Linked DNA regions of Canis lupus familiaris. The protein of the gene in region 1 interacts with the protein of each later gene in a biochemical or structural test. Links are inferred from orthologs where the notes say so. Each region holds a gene or a part of one and is shown in the gene's direction. Other genes may lie near its edges.

Region 1 (2,875 bases):
CAATAGGGCCTTATAAGCCCTAGTAAAGGCTTTGGCTTTGACCTTGAGAGAATGGTGGTCAAGGCAGCAGGCTCCTAGAACAGCTTATGCTGTTTGCTCCCTATACTTATGGGGATGTTAAGGCCAAATCCTTCCGGGGTGCCCAGCCTATATTTTCTATCATCAGCATGGGGTCCTGTCCCAGCAATTCGTGGAGCTCATCAACAAGTGCAACTTGATGCAGTCCGAGTACCGGGAGAAGAATGTGGAGCGGATTCGGAGGCAGCTGAAGATCAGTGAGTTGTGGTGTCTGGCCTACAGGGTCAGGTAACCTGACCCAGCTCTGAGCCTGACCTTTTCCTTCACAGCAAATGCTGGAATGGTGTCTGATGAGGAGCTGGAGCAGATGCTGGACAGTGGGCAAAGCGAGGTGTTTGTATCCAATGTGAGTGGTCATGGCTAGCCTCCCTCTTCTGGGACTCTCATCTTCGCTGAGGCCTGGTCCCCTTTGATTGAGGGAATACAGAGGCCTGGAAGGGAATGACTTAGCATGCCTAGGGTCGCTCATCAAGGTCCTGGCCCCAGTTCTAAGCCTGAGGGCTGCCTGAAAGCTCAACAGGAACTTCTGATCTGCTGCTGGATTCCCTGTGACCTGTCTGGCCATTCCTATCTGCTCCCCAGATCCTGAAGGACACGCAGGTGACTCGACAGGCCCTAAATGAGATCTCAGCCCGGCACAGTGAGATACAGCAGCTTGAACGCAGCATCCGTGAACTTCATGAGATTTTCACTTTCCTGGCTACAGAAGTGGAGATGCAGGTGGGCAAGACAGCTGGCTGGGCTTGATGTGAGACCGTGTTCAGTCAGAAACCCCACTGTGTCTGTCAGTCCATCTCCACTCTCTAGCCTCTCTCCCCGAGGCTTTCATCCCCCTCCAGGCTGGGCCATGCCCCCAGGCTGGCCCTCACTCCCATCTGTAGCTGAGCCCCAGAATTGCTTCCACCTCCACATTACACAGATGGCCACTCCTCTACACTCACCATCTTACCCTGTCTCCCAGTTGAGCTACCCAGGATGTAGCCCAACTCTGGCTCCTCCTCCACCAATAGAATCCACCCTTATACCTCTAAGAGTTCTACTCAAAGATGCTCCTTAGGGGGCATGCCTCCACAGATCTGAATGAGGTTGGGGTGGGAGGTGGTGTTCTTCTGCTGCCCCCGTTGTGTGAGGTGAGGTAAGCTGCCGGCCTCTAGTGCTGCAGCCAATGCCCTTGTGCAGCTGGGATTCATGGGGAAGGCATTTCATTCAGTAGGAGTACCAGGACCTGAAGGCTGGCAGTGCCATGAGGAGGCAGGGTTGGGGAGGGCTTCACAGCTGTTGAGAGGCAAGCCTAGAAGAATGAGCAAATTCAGACAGATTTACAAAGAGACAGAAGTTCACCCTCTGTGACAAGGTATGAGCTTCTTAAGGCGCTTGGCTCCAAGCCACCACTGCAAATGAAGGTTGTAGGGGGTAAGGGAGCAGGGCAGAAGGGACTACATAATAAAAGGGATCCTGGAAGCCACCCTCAGGAGTGTGCACTTTGGTCAGATGTGGTCCTACCCCCACACCTTTGTTAGTGCTGCATTTCCTGCCAGAAAATGTCCTTTAGGCAGCTAGTGTGAGCAAGCAGAGGAGCTGATGGGCTCTCCACCCCCAGTCATCCCTACCTGCCTGAACTGTCCCCCTCCTCTGAGCAGGGGGAGATGATCAACCGGATTGAGAAGAACATCCTGAGCTCAGCAGACTATGTGGAACGCGGGCAGGAACATGTCAAGATTGCCCTGGAGAACCAGAAGAAGGCTCGGAAGGTGAGCCTTGACACCCCTTCCCTCCCCTCTAGTCTGAGGCCCTGGTTGCCTTCCCTCCCCTTCTGAGTTTGTTTCCCTGAACTCTCCCACAGAAGAAAGTCTTGATCGCCATTTGTGTGTCTGTCACTGTCGTCATTCTGGCAGTCATCATTGGTATCGCCACATTGGTTTGAGAGCATTGCACATTCTTGGTGAGCTATTGTGGGCCTGCCCCCTGGCCTGCCTCGTCCTGGGCCCCTGCCTTTCCTCCTCCCCTCAGACCCTCTTCTCCCTCCTTCCCTTACAGGCTCTAAGAACACCGGGGACCCGGGTCCGCCTTCTCTCCCAGCAGCTGAGGGGGGAGGGCAGGACAGAGCCTCCAACTGGACCCCCTTCCTCACACTGGCCCTGTGCAGAGGGGCAGACAGTTCTTCTGGGGTTGGCAGCCACTCATTCATGGGGGCTTCTCCACTCAGGCCACAATGCCTGGGGGAAGGCCTGCAGCGTCCTGTTTGGCTGGGACACATGGTTTTGTAAGAAAGTAAAAAAAGACAAACAGAAAAATGAGCTTGGAGACTGCCCCGTGCATGTATGTTCCTAGAAGAGCTGGCCCAGGGCCTCTACGTAGGCGGCCTCCTCTTTCCGTGGCCATCTTTGGGGCCAGGCCCATCCGAGGAAGACTCAGATCAGACTGTTCAGGTGCTGTGACCACAGCAGGCTAGCACTGCCCTTCTACTCTCCCTTAGGAACAGGTGGGCAGGGAGGGGCTAACACCCACATCTGGCTCAGTATTGTCCTTGGGGAAGGATTACTGTGAGTACCTAACCCCAAAGCAGTGAAGCTGGGCCTGGTAGGCTGGGACATAGGTGAGGTGTGTGTGGGCATCCATCGGCCTTCCTGAGGCCACGAGGCACCGTTGAGTAATGGAGGCTGTTACTCCAGATACAGTGAACAGGGAAAGTCCTGTCTCAGAAAGGGTGACATTTCAGTGGGCTGTTAAATGAGGAGGAGCCAGTTATGAGAAGAAGCAGGGGGAGAGGCTGCAGGGCAGAGCCCAGAAAAAGGCA
Region 2 (4,253 bases), on another chromosome or scaffold:
GCGTGTGTGCGCGCGTGTGTGTGTGCGTGTGTGTGTGTGTGTTGGCAGGGTTGGGGATTGTGCCTTGTTTTTCCGGACCCGAGACAAGGATTTTCCATCGCCTGAAAGAGGCCATCGAGTTTTAACATTGCGAGGCACGACTTCTAATCGCATCCTTCCCGGAAAAGTACAAACAGTTCCTCAGCCGAGGTCCCCCACCTCCCACGCGCTCTCCAGCTCGCCCTCCCCGCGGAGCCCCGCGACAGCCTCCCCAACACCTGTGAATCATCCGAGAGGCTGCCGCCGCGCAACCATTTGCATAGCCCACCACCCGCCCTCCCTCGGTGCCTAATGCACAACAAAGGAGGACAGTTAGGATTATTCCCTTATGGTTATTATTTTTAATCTCTCATATGACCAGCACAGGTAGCCTTTCTCGCCCACGCCGTTTTAAGCATCAGAGCACTCCCCCCCCCCACCCCGGCTAGCCTCGACTGGTACCCAGGTTTGCACATGGAATGAACCACCAAAATTCTGTAGCGTCCCAGAGATCCTGGAATCCTCAGCCTTCCCCACTCCCCTTGGAAGTCTGGATGGTTCCATAAGGTCTGTGCGCGCTTCCGTGAACTATTCCTAAGAAACCCAACATAAAACCCCAGGTTCTGGTTGCATATTTAACCGAAAACAGCGTCATCTAGTTTGCCCTCAGCAAATAACTCTCAACTCCAAGCCTTGAACTCCAGGAAACCCACGCTGGTTAGGTTAACTACCCCTCCCTCCCCCTCCGCCCAATTCATTCTGTATCTCTCAGAGATAATTGCTCTGACGTACTTTAAAATAACGTGTACGCGTCTGCCTCCCCAACTGACCACATTAATGCAAACTCTAAACGCTGGGTGCTGCTTTGATAAAATGAAGAAATCACTCATAAAAATAGCAGCCCACGTAGCCTGGCCATATATGGAGCTGGTGAGGGCTGACAGGGATGCCCCTTCGGAGCCGCTTCCTTAGAAAAAGCGAATTGCAGCTGAAATCCCCTCGACTACCTCCCCCACTTCTACTCTTCTGCCTTCCCCTCCCCTTCTATGACTCAACCAAAGACAACTCAGCAGGGGGAGGGGAAATTCTATATAATCGCATATATGTCGCAGATATGACACAATATAGGCACACACAGATAACATATATACATACACACACACAAAGAATATCAGAAAACTAGTCGCGAGATAAATGTATTTGCCCGACACCGGGTGTTAAGATGGAGTCATAAGAATCGCCTCATTCAGGTGTTTATAAAAGACTGAAATACAAAGGTTTGCAGGAAAGCGCACAGGGAGCTGAGTCAAGCGGTCCGCACAACTCGGCTCCGCCCCTCCCACCGCCCACCTCCCACCTCCATCCTCCCCCCGCGCTCCCCGCGGCACACTTCCTCCCCGCCCCTCCTGGAGAGGGCTATTAAAAGCTGCTGACGTCAAAAGGGACGGCCATCTTTGATGAGGGCAGAGCTCACGTTGCATTGAAGACGAAACCTCGGAGAGGTCAGGCGCTGTCTCTCCTTCCCTCCCGGCTTGGCGGCTCCTCCACACTTGCACCCTGCGAGGGGCCAGGCGAACACCACCCTCTGCAGAAGCCAAGGTAAGGAGCCTCCACCTCAGGTCGTGGTTCTGGTTTTGGATGGCTGCATACCCAGAGGGGACCACAGCCGAGGAGACCAAGTGAGCGTGGGCAAATACAAGTATTTGTGCACCTAGGGTGCGGTATGCCGTGTGTGCGCGTCGGGATAGCTCCGGTCTAGGGGCTTTATAAAGTATTTTCGAGGTGAGCCGCCTGGGGAAGGGAGGAATGGGGACACTGCAGATGGAGCGATGGGGAGGAAGCGCAAGGATACATGCCGAATAATAACTTACTCTTTCGAAACAGTAGTGGGACTCTCTTCCATTTTGCGATGCAGTTTTCAGAGATGTTTAGGCTGCTGGTTTTTTGATTTTTTTTTTCCCCCGGTAGACCAAAACAAACTCTGTCGTTCTGACCCTGTTATTTTGACTATTGTCGTTCAGGCGCTATTATCCAGCGAAGAATTAGGGAGAAGGCAGGTCGTGGGCGCTGGGGAGGCGAGAGAAGGGGGAGTTCCCGCCCCGGGCAAGCCGAGCTGCAGCAGCGGCAGCAGCCTCCATGCCCCGCGGACTTGATTTATGCCGCCTGCTCCCCGTCGACTGCAGGCTGGCGGGAGGCGGGCGGGTCATGCTGTGTGGGAGGGCTCTGCGGAGGGCTGGCGGGGGTGGGCTCGCCTCGGGGACTGCGGCGGCCCGCAGTCAGCACCCTGGACAGCGATGCCCAGGCCCCTCGCGGGCGCCCGCGACCTTTCAGCACCGCGGAGAGCGGCCCGGCAGCCTCGCCGCATCTACCTGCCGCAGAGCTGCCTGGCCAGAGCTGCCGGTCAGGGCTGGAGGCCAAATTGCCTCTCTGAGACCTCGGTCTCACAGAGAGACTCCCTGATAGAGAAGACGTAGTAGGTTAACAATTTTAAAAAAGAAAAAAATAAATCCTGCCGTAGGACTGCTTTGCAGGCAATTACCTGCTCCCATCCTCAGCTCCCGCATAGCTTAAAAAAGAAATAAGTCTACTTATAGACTTCTCATGTTGCCCTCGTCCCTTTTTCTTAAGTAGAAAGTAAACACATTTTTAAGAAAAATCTGCTTCATCCTCCAGTCAGATATCAAGGGTTTTGTTTGGTTTTGTTTTTAACACAGAGTATATTTGTCTGCAGACCTTGGGTGGGCATGAATGAGGTATATATGAAGATACCAAAATGATCTGTTTACAGGAGTAATATATTTCTGTATATATTTCTATTTGATATATATATATATATATATATATATATATATATATAGTTAAACTAAGCAGAATCAACTTTAAGAATGAAGCCCTCTTCTTCCTTCTCTCCCATCCTTGTAATTAGGCATGTACATAAGCACACACTCACAAAAATACATCTCAGAAATATTACAGGTCCTACAAGGTATAGATTTAATCTCTTTTGCCATGGTTTCAGAGGGAGTGGAAGTGTTTCCTATGAACATTGGTTATCTCAGGCCGATAGTTTCTGATCTGGACATTATTAAGACTGGTTTTCCTCAAAATCCAACTATGTCCTTCAGGGTCATGCAGGTGTTAGACTGAAACTGGACTCTGACCTAAAGATCTACTGCAATTTCTATTACGGCACTGCGGGATTTTGCTGAGACAGTGATAAGTACTTTAATCATTTTCTACTCTGAGCCTTGGGGCCTCTGAGTGAACAAAAATTACCAAGGAATATTTCCTGTTGTTTGATATAACTAAAATTGTCATAAAATACCAGGCGCAAAACTGTACTATTTGAATAGTTGTTAAATAAGAGTAACAGCGTCATATGTAGGAATCTATGCAACGCATTAAAAGAAACACTGTCATGATCTTTTGAAAAGCCTCACATTAAGATCTTGGATTGTTTTTGTTAGTCATAACTCCAATGATTTCTATACTAGAGCTGCTAAAATGGTCCTGTCCATATAGAGGAGGTACTTTCATTCCTAGCTATTTATTTCCTAATGTTTTTCAATTTTATGGATAACCTATGTGTTTCCATATAAGTACATATTTATCTGTTACTGTATATGGGTGTAAAATTAATATTCAGGGCTATGTAACTCCATGGAAGAATTTTATAACCTTGCAATCCGCAAACGAAATAAACAACTGTGTTTTAGTGATAGGAGGAGGGGAGAAAAGATGGGTAGGAGTCTTTAAAAATGCTTTGACTTCATGCTGCATGTCCAGACAGCTCTGCGTAGTTGCGTCAAAAAAAAAAAAAAAAATCCTAACGGTGCCAGAATTACGTGCTTGGACATTAGTAATTACTGCTGGGTTTGTTTGCTAGTGGAAGACTGGGGGAAATGGGGGTTAGGGGGGTGGAGGTAGAAGACTGCAGTGAAGCTGGCAAAGGGTAAAGATCTGGAAAGAAGTGGCAATGTGCACAATTACGGAGCTAATTCTAGAACAGCTTACTGAGAAATTAAAGAAAAACATAATTGAAGCATGAATTTAACATTCATGTTATTGAATGTTAAATTTTTCGGGAAAAAATGAAGAGATTTTCTATTTTAAATTTTAAACATCCAGGGCAATACGGCAAGAAGAGGCAGGAGCAGATGGACATAAGGATGTGCCAGGAAACATTCACGTAGATCCTCTGATGGTACCTGCTTGTTTGTGCATTGGCATTTTCT
Region 3 (4,090 bases), on another chromosome or scaffold:
CAGAGCCGGAACGCCCCCGCGAGAATCTGTACCCCGAAGCCAGAAGCACCGTCTGCCTGTAAAACGCGCGGGCTCAGGGAGCGGGGAGGACCCGGGCGCAGCGGCGCCGCAGCCTGCAGGAGCACAAGCCCGGCCGCGCGTCCTGCAGCCCGAAACCTTAGGGGCAGACCACCAGGACCCCGCCGTTCCCATACGCCCCAACGCAGCCCGGCGCCTCGATACTCACACTCACAGCCGACCCCTCTTACTCCATCGGGCCGCCAAGGTCCCAGCGAGGGAGGTCCCCTAGGCCCCTCTCAGTTTTGGGTCCGGCGGCCCACTCCGGGCCCCCTCCCCCCCGGGCACCACCGCCGCCGCCGCCGCCGCCGCCGCCGCCGCCAGCGCGCAGGCGCACACCGCCGCCGTCACGCTCCTTTTTTTTTTTTTTTTTTTCCTCTTTGCAGTCCGCCTTTCTCAATAATCTAGCTTTATTTGAACACACAAGAGTGAACAACGGACACAGGGTAAAGAGACTTTACTGGAAAAGAAAGATCAAAGGCAGGTCGGCTTGCAGAAGTTACTCTGCAGCCCTGAACGCACCTGTGACCAGCCTCCTTAGTTCTTTTTTCATTCGTTTTGCTCTTTCTGGGCCTCCCTGTTGCTTCTACTCTCTTCCTAAATCACCAGCATTCCCTTTATGCAGTGGCAATTGTTTAAGCTAAATTTCCAACCACTCCTGCCTTGTAAAACCTACTGATGTTTAATGGAAGGTCTAAGAGCTTGAGGACAGACAGATATGAGTTCAAATCTTGACCTAGCTTCTACTAATTTATGACTTTGGGCAAATTACAAGTTTTCTTGGAATCTCAGTTTCTGCACAGTTAAAATTGGGATAATGGTATCTCTCAGGGGGTTGCTAGGATTAAATGACATAATGCAGGTCAAGTGCCTATCTATGAATGGGTGCCTGTCATAAAGCAAAAAAAATCCATGAATACCTATGATGATATTTTTATTAATACTTACCATATTTATTTCCTTTATTAAATGTAGCCCATATTCATTCTCTCATGATCCTATTTTAGTAACTACAGCTAATCAGATAAATCAAGTTACATTAAGATTAATAATGGTGTGAAGCGTTACTCCTATATTATTGAAGTTCTAACAATGTCTGTGTTTAACAAGATCTTCAATACCTAAAACCAAAGCAAGCACCTCCCTTCAACTATGTAGAAGTCCAGATTTGTATCTAGAGGACTGAAGAACTATTCCAATTCTGTATTTGTGACATCACAAGTCCTTGAAACACTCAAGGTCTCAGGTACATGCTCATTCTACTCTCCTTCAAAAGTATGCAATGGAAGGACTACTTTACCCTAAAAGTTCAGGGCTATAGTCCAAGGAAAAGCTTGTAGAAGAGTAAGATGAGCCATTGGTGAGCATCAAGGTAATCATAGATCAGGGTTTCTTTCTTTCTTTCTTTCTTTCTTTCTTTCTTTCTTTCTTTCTTTCTTTCTTTCTTTCTTCTTTCTTTCTTTCTTTCTTTCTTTCTTTCTTTCTTTCTTTCTTTCTTCTTTCTCTTTCTTTTTTTAAAGATTTATTCTATTCATTTGAGAGAGAGACAAAGACAGAGAGCAGGGGGTGAAGGGAGGGCAGGGTGTGACAGAGGGAGAGAAGCAGACTCCTAGCTGAGTGTGGAGCCCAGTGTTTGACACCATAATCCCAAAATCACAACCTGAGGTGAAACCAAGAATAGGACACCCAACTGACTGACCCACCTGGGTACCCCTAGGTCAAGGCTTCTTAACCTTGGCACTATTGATACTTTGGAGATAACTTTTTTTAGAGGTGAAGAGGGGAAGAGGGAGAGAGAATCTTAAGCAGGCTCCAAGCCCAGCACAGAGCCCAATGTGGGGCTGGATCTCAAAACCCTGAGATCATGACCTGAGCTGAAATCAGGAATTGGACACTTAACCAACTGAGCCACCCAGGTGCTATTTGGAGATAATTCTTGTGCTGTCCTGTGCATTGTAGGGTGCTTAACAGCATCCCTGGACACTAGATGCCTATAGTATCTCCCACCTTCATGTCCTTTACATGCCTTTACGTTACATCCTTTACATCCCCCACTCCAATCCCTGTCATCTTCAAAGGCCAAGATGCCTCTGGTTGAGAACCATAGCATTATCCCAACCATAAATAAACTCAACCATACATTTTGTCCACTTCTGCCCAGAAGTGGAAGAAGTGACTGCTGCTTTAGTAAGTCACACAGGAGGTTAGAAGCTGGAGAGTTCACTTTTACCAATCTTATACAGGCCCTAGACACTGCTTAACAGTCCGACTACTTGTTCAAGATCAACTTGTTCTATCACTTCTGTAACAATATTTCAAAACTCTCCACTTGCCTTAAAACTCCTAACTCCAGGGGCACCTGGGTGGCTCAGCGGTTGAGCATCTCTGCCTTTGGCCCAGGGCATGATCCTGGAGTCCTGGGATGGAGTCCCACACTGGGCTCCCGGCATGGAACCTGCTTCTCCCTCTGCCTTTGTCTTTCCCTCTCTATCTGTGTCACTCATGAGTAAATAAATAAAATCTCAAAAAAAAAAAAAAAAAAAAAAAACCTCCCAACTTCTTTTCTATTAGATGACATCATCTCCTACTTCATAGAGAAAACAGAGGTCATCAGATGAGAACTTCTTTAACTTCCTGTTACTAAACATAAAACACCTACTTCCTCTTATAATTGAGGAGGTATCTTCTCTCTCTCCCAAAACCATTATTTCTTCTCTGAAATACTTTTTTTTTTTTTTAAATTTCCAGCATTGTGCTCTATTCTTTGAGGCGCCTAGAAGAGTTCCTGAACCTGTTTAAAAATCCTTCAATGGCTCTCTGAGGTCATAGCATAAAGTCCAGGCTCACTAGTCCAAAAGTGCAAAACCTTCCAAGATCGGACCCATTGCCGACTTGACTATTTAAAGCTTATTCTCCACTTCACCCGGAGATACACAATGAGCTGTAAGCCTCTAACTAGGATGAACTACGAGGAATTTACCGAAGGCGCTATGTTCTTAATGGCACACGCTGTTCCCACGGGTTGGAAAAAACTGTGGCCCTCCACCCCAGACTTCTGGGAGAACTACTTAGCCTTCCTGATTGAAAAGCCACTTCCTCTGGGAACCCTTCCAAACATCCCTAAGAATAAGGCTCTTCTTTCATTGTGCGCCAAGCCCGCCTCGGACGTTTCCAATGCCACGCACTGTATTCTATGCACTATCATTTGTTTCCATGTCGATCTCCAATCTAGACAGATCGAAAGGCCCCGGAAGGCAGGGAAGGCGTTCTTTTCGCCTTCTTTTCTTCCAGTAAACGGTTTACCCTTAACAAATGTTTGTTGCACTTCGGGAGGGATCCGAATTATCCGGCTAACGGGTGAGTCCCCAGGCTCCCCGCCTGCGTGGCAGGGAGATGTAAACCCCTCAGACGGTGATTGGCTCCGGCGCCAGCGGTGTCCGCGCCCGCGCGGCCGAGGCAGTGCGCATGCGCGCGGGCCAGGCGCGCGCAGGCGCCGGGAGGACGCAGGTCCAGGTCCCGTCCGGGGGGTGTCCGAGCCGCTGCCGCGCGAGAGGAGTGGCCGGAACTGCTTGGTGAGCCTTCGGGAGGGGGGTTGAGGGAGCAACTCGGTTGGAGATCGGGATCCAGTTCCCAAGAAGCAAGGGGATTCCCGTGACGGTTTAAAACTTGGTGCGGTCGGTCTAAAGGGGAGGGTGGGGGGTGCTCTGGCCCGGACTGGGCAGGTCGGGCCCGAAGCAAGGACCCGCGCTGCCAGGAAACCACCGCGGGGCCGGCGGAGGAAGGGCGGCAGGATCGTGGTTGGTTGAACCCCGCCTCAAAACCTAGCGGAGGTAAACTCCCACTCCCCCACCCCTGCAGTGTTGCTGTGGTCGGGATTAATTGTATGTGACCACAGTGATCGAATGACTCTGAGCTAGAGTTTGGAGGTGTCTGAGGTGCGTGGCATCGCAGAGTCCGTGCTCTCGAGGAAAGTCCATCCGGATTCGCGGCTTTACTGTAGACGCACGAAGGATCCCTGGAACACTGGATTTTA

What was found.
Region 2: the proteins of STX4 (region 1) and SNAP25 form a complex in vitro, tested with the Homo sapiens proteins (3 studies listed by BioGRID). The link is inferred for Canis lupus familiaris from reciprocal best matches to the Homo sapiens genes STX4 and SNAP25.
Region 3: the proteins of STX4 (region 1) and SNAP23 form a complex in vitro, tested with the Homo sapiens proteins (4 studies listed by BioGRID). The link is inferred for Canis lupus familiaris from reciprocal best matches to the Homo sapiens genes STX4 and SNAP23.

The regions. Positions count from the first base shown.
Region 1 is NC_049227.1:17,346,011-17,348,885, reverse strand, and holds the end of STX4 (syntaxin-4), read left to right. Parts: intron 1-166; coding exon 167-275; intron 276-347; coding exon 348-424; intron 425-660; coding exon 661-798; intron 799-1,718; coding exon 1,719-1,829; intron 1,830-1,921; coding exon 1,922-2,002; 3' UTR 2,003-2,020; intron 2,021-2,115; 3' UTR 2,116-2,375; downstream 2,376-2,875. UniProt on the Homo sapiens protein: Plasma membrane t-SNARE that mediates docking of transport vesicles. Necessary for the translocation of SLC2A4 from intracellular vesicles to the plasma membrane.
Region 2 is NC_049245.1:12,539,710-12,543,962, reverse strand, and holds the start of SNAP25 (synaptosomal-associated protein 25), read left to right. Parts: upstream 1-1,453; 5' UTR 1,454-1,617; intron 1,618-1,758; exon of another isoform or gene 1,759-1,800; intron 1,801-1,889; exon of another isoform or gene 1,890-2,185; intron 2,186-4,253.
Region 3 is NC_049251.1:9,746,622-9,750,711, forward strand, and holds the start of SNAP23 (synaptosomal-associated protein 23), read left to right. Parts: upstream 1-1,290; 5' UTR 1,291-1,429; intron 1,430-2,805; 5' UTR 2,806-3,000; intron 3,001-3,394; exon of another isoform or gene 3,395-3,414; intron 3,415-3,510; exon of another isoform or gene 3,511-3,629; intron 3,630-3,654; exon of another isoform or gene 3,655-3,887; intron 3,888-4,090. UniProt on the Homo sapiens protein: Essential component of the high affinity receptor for the general membrane fusion machinery and an important regulator of transport vesicle docking and fusion.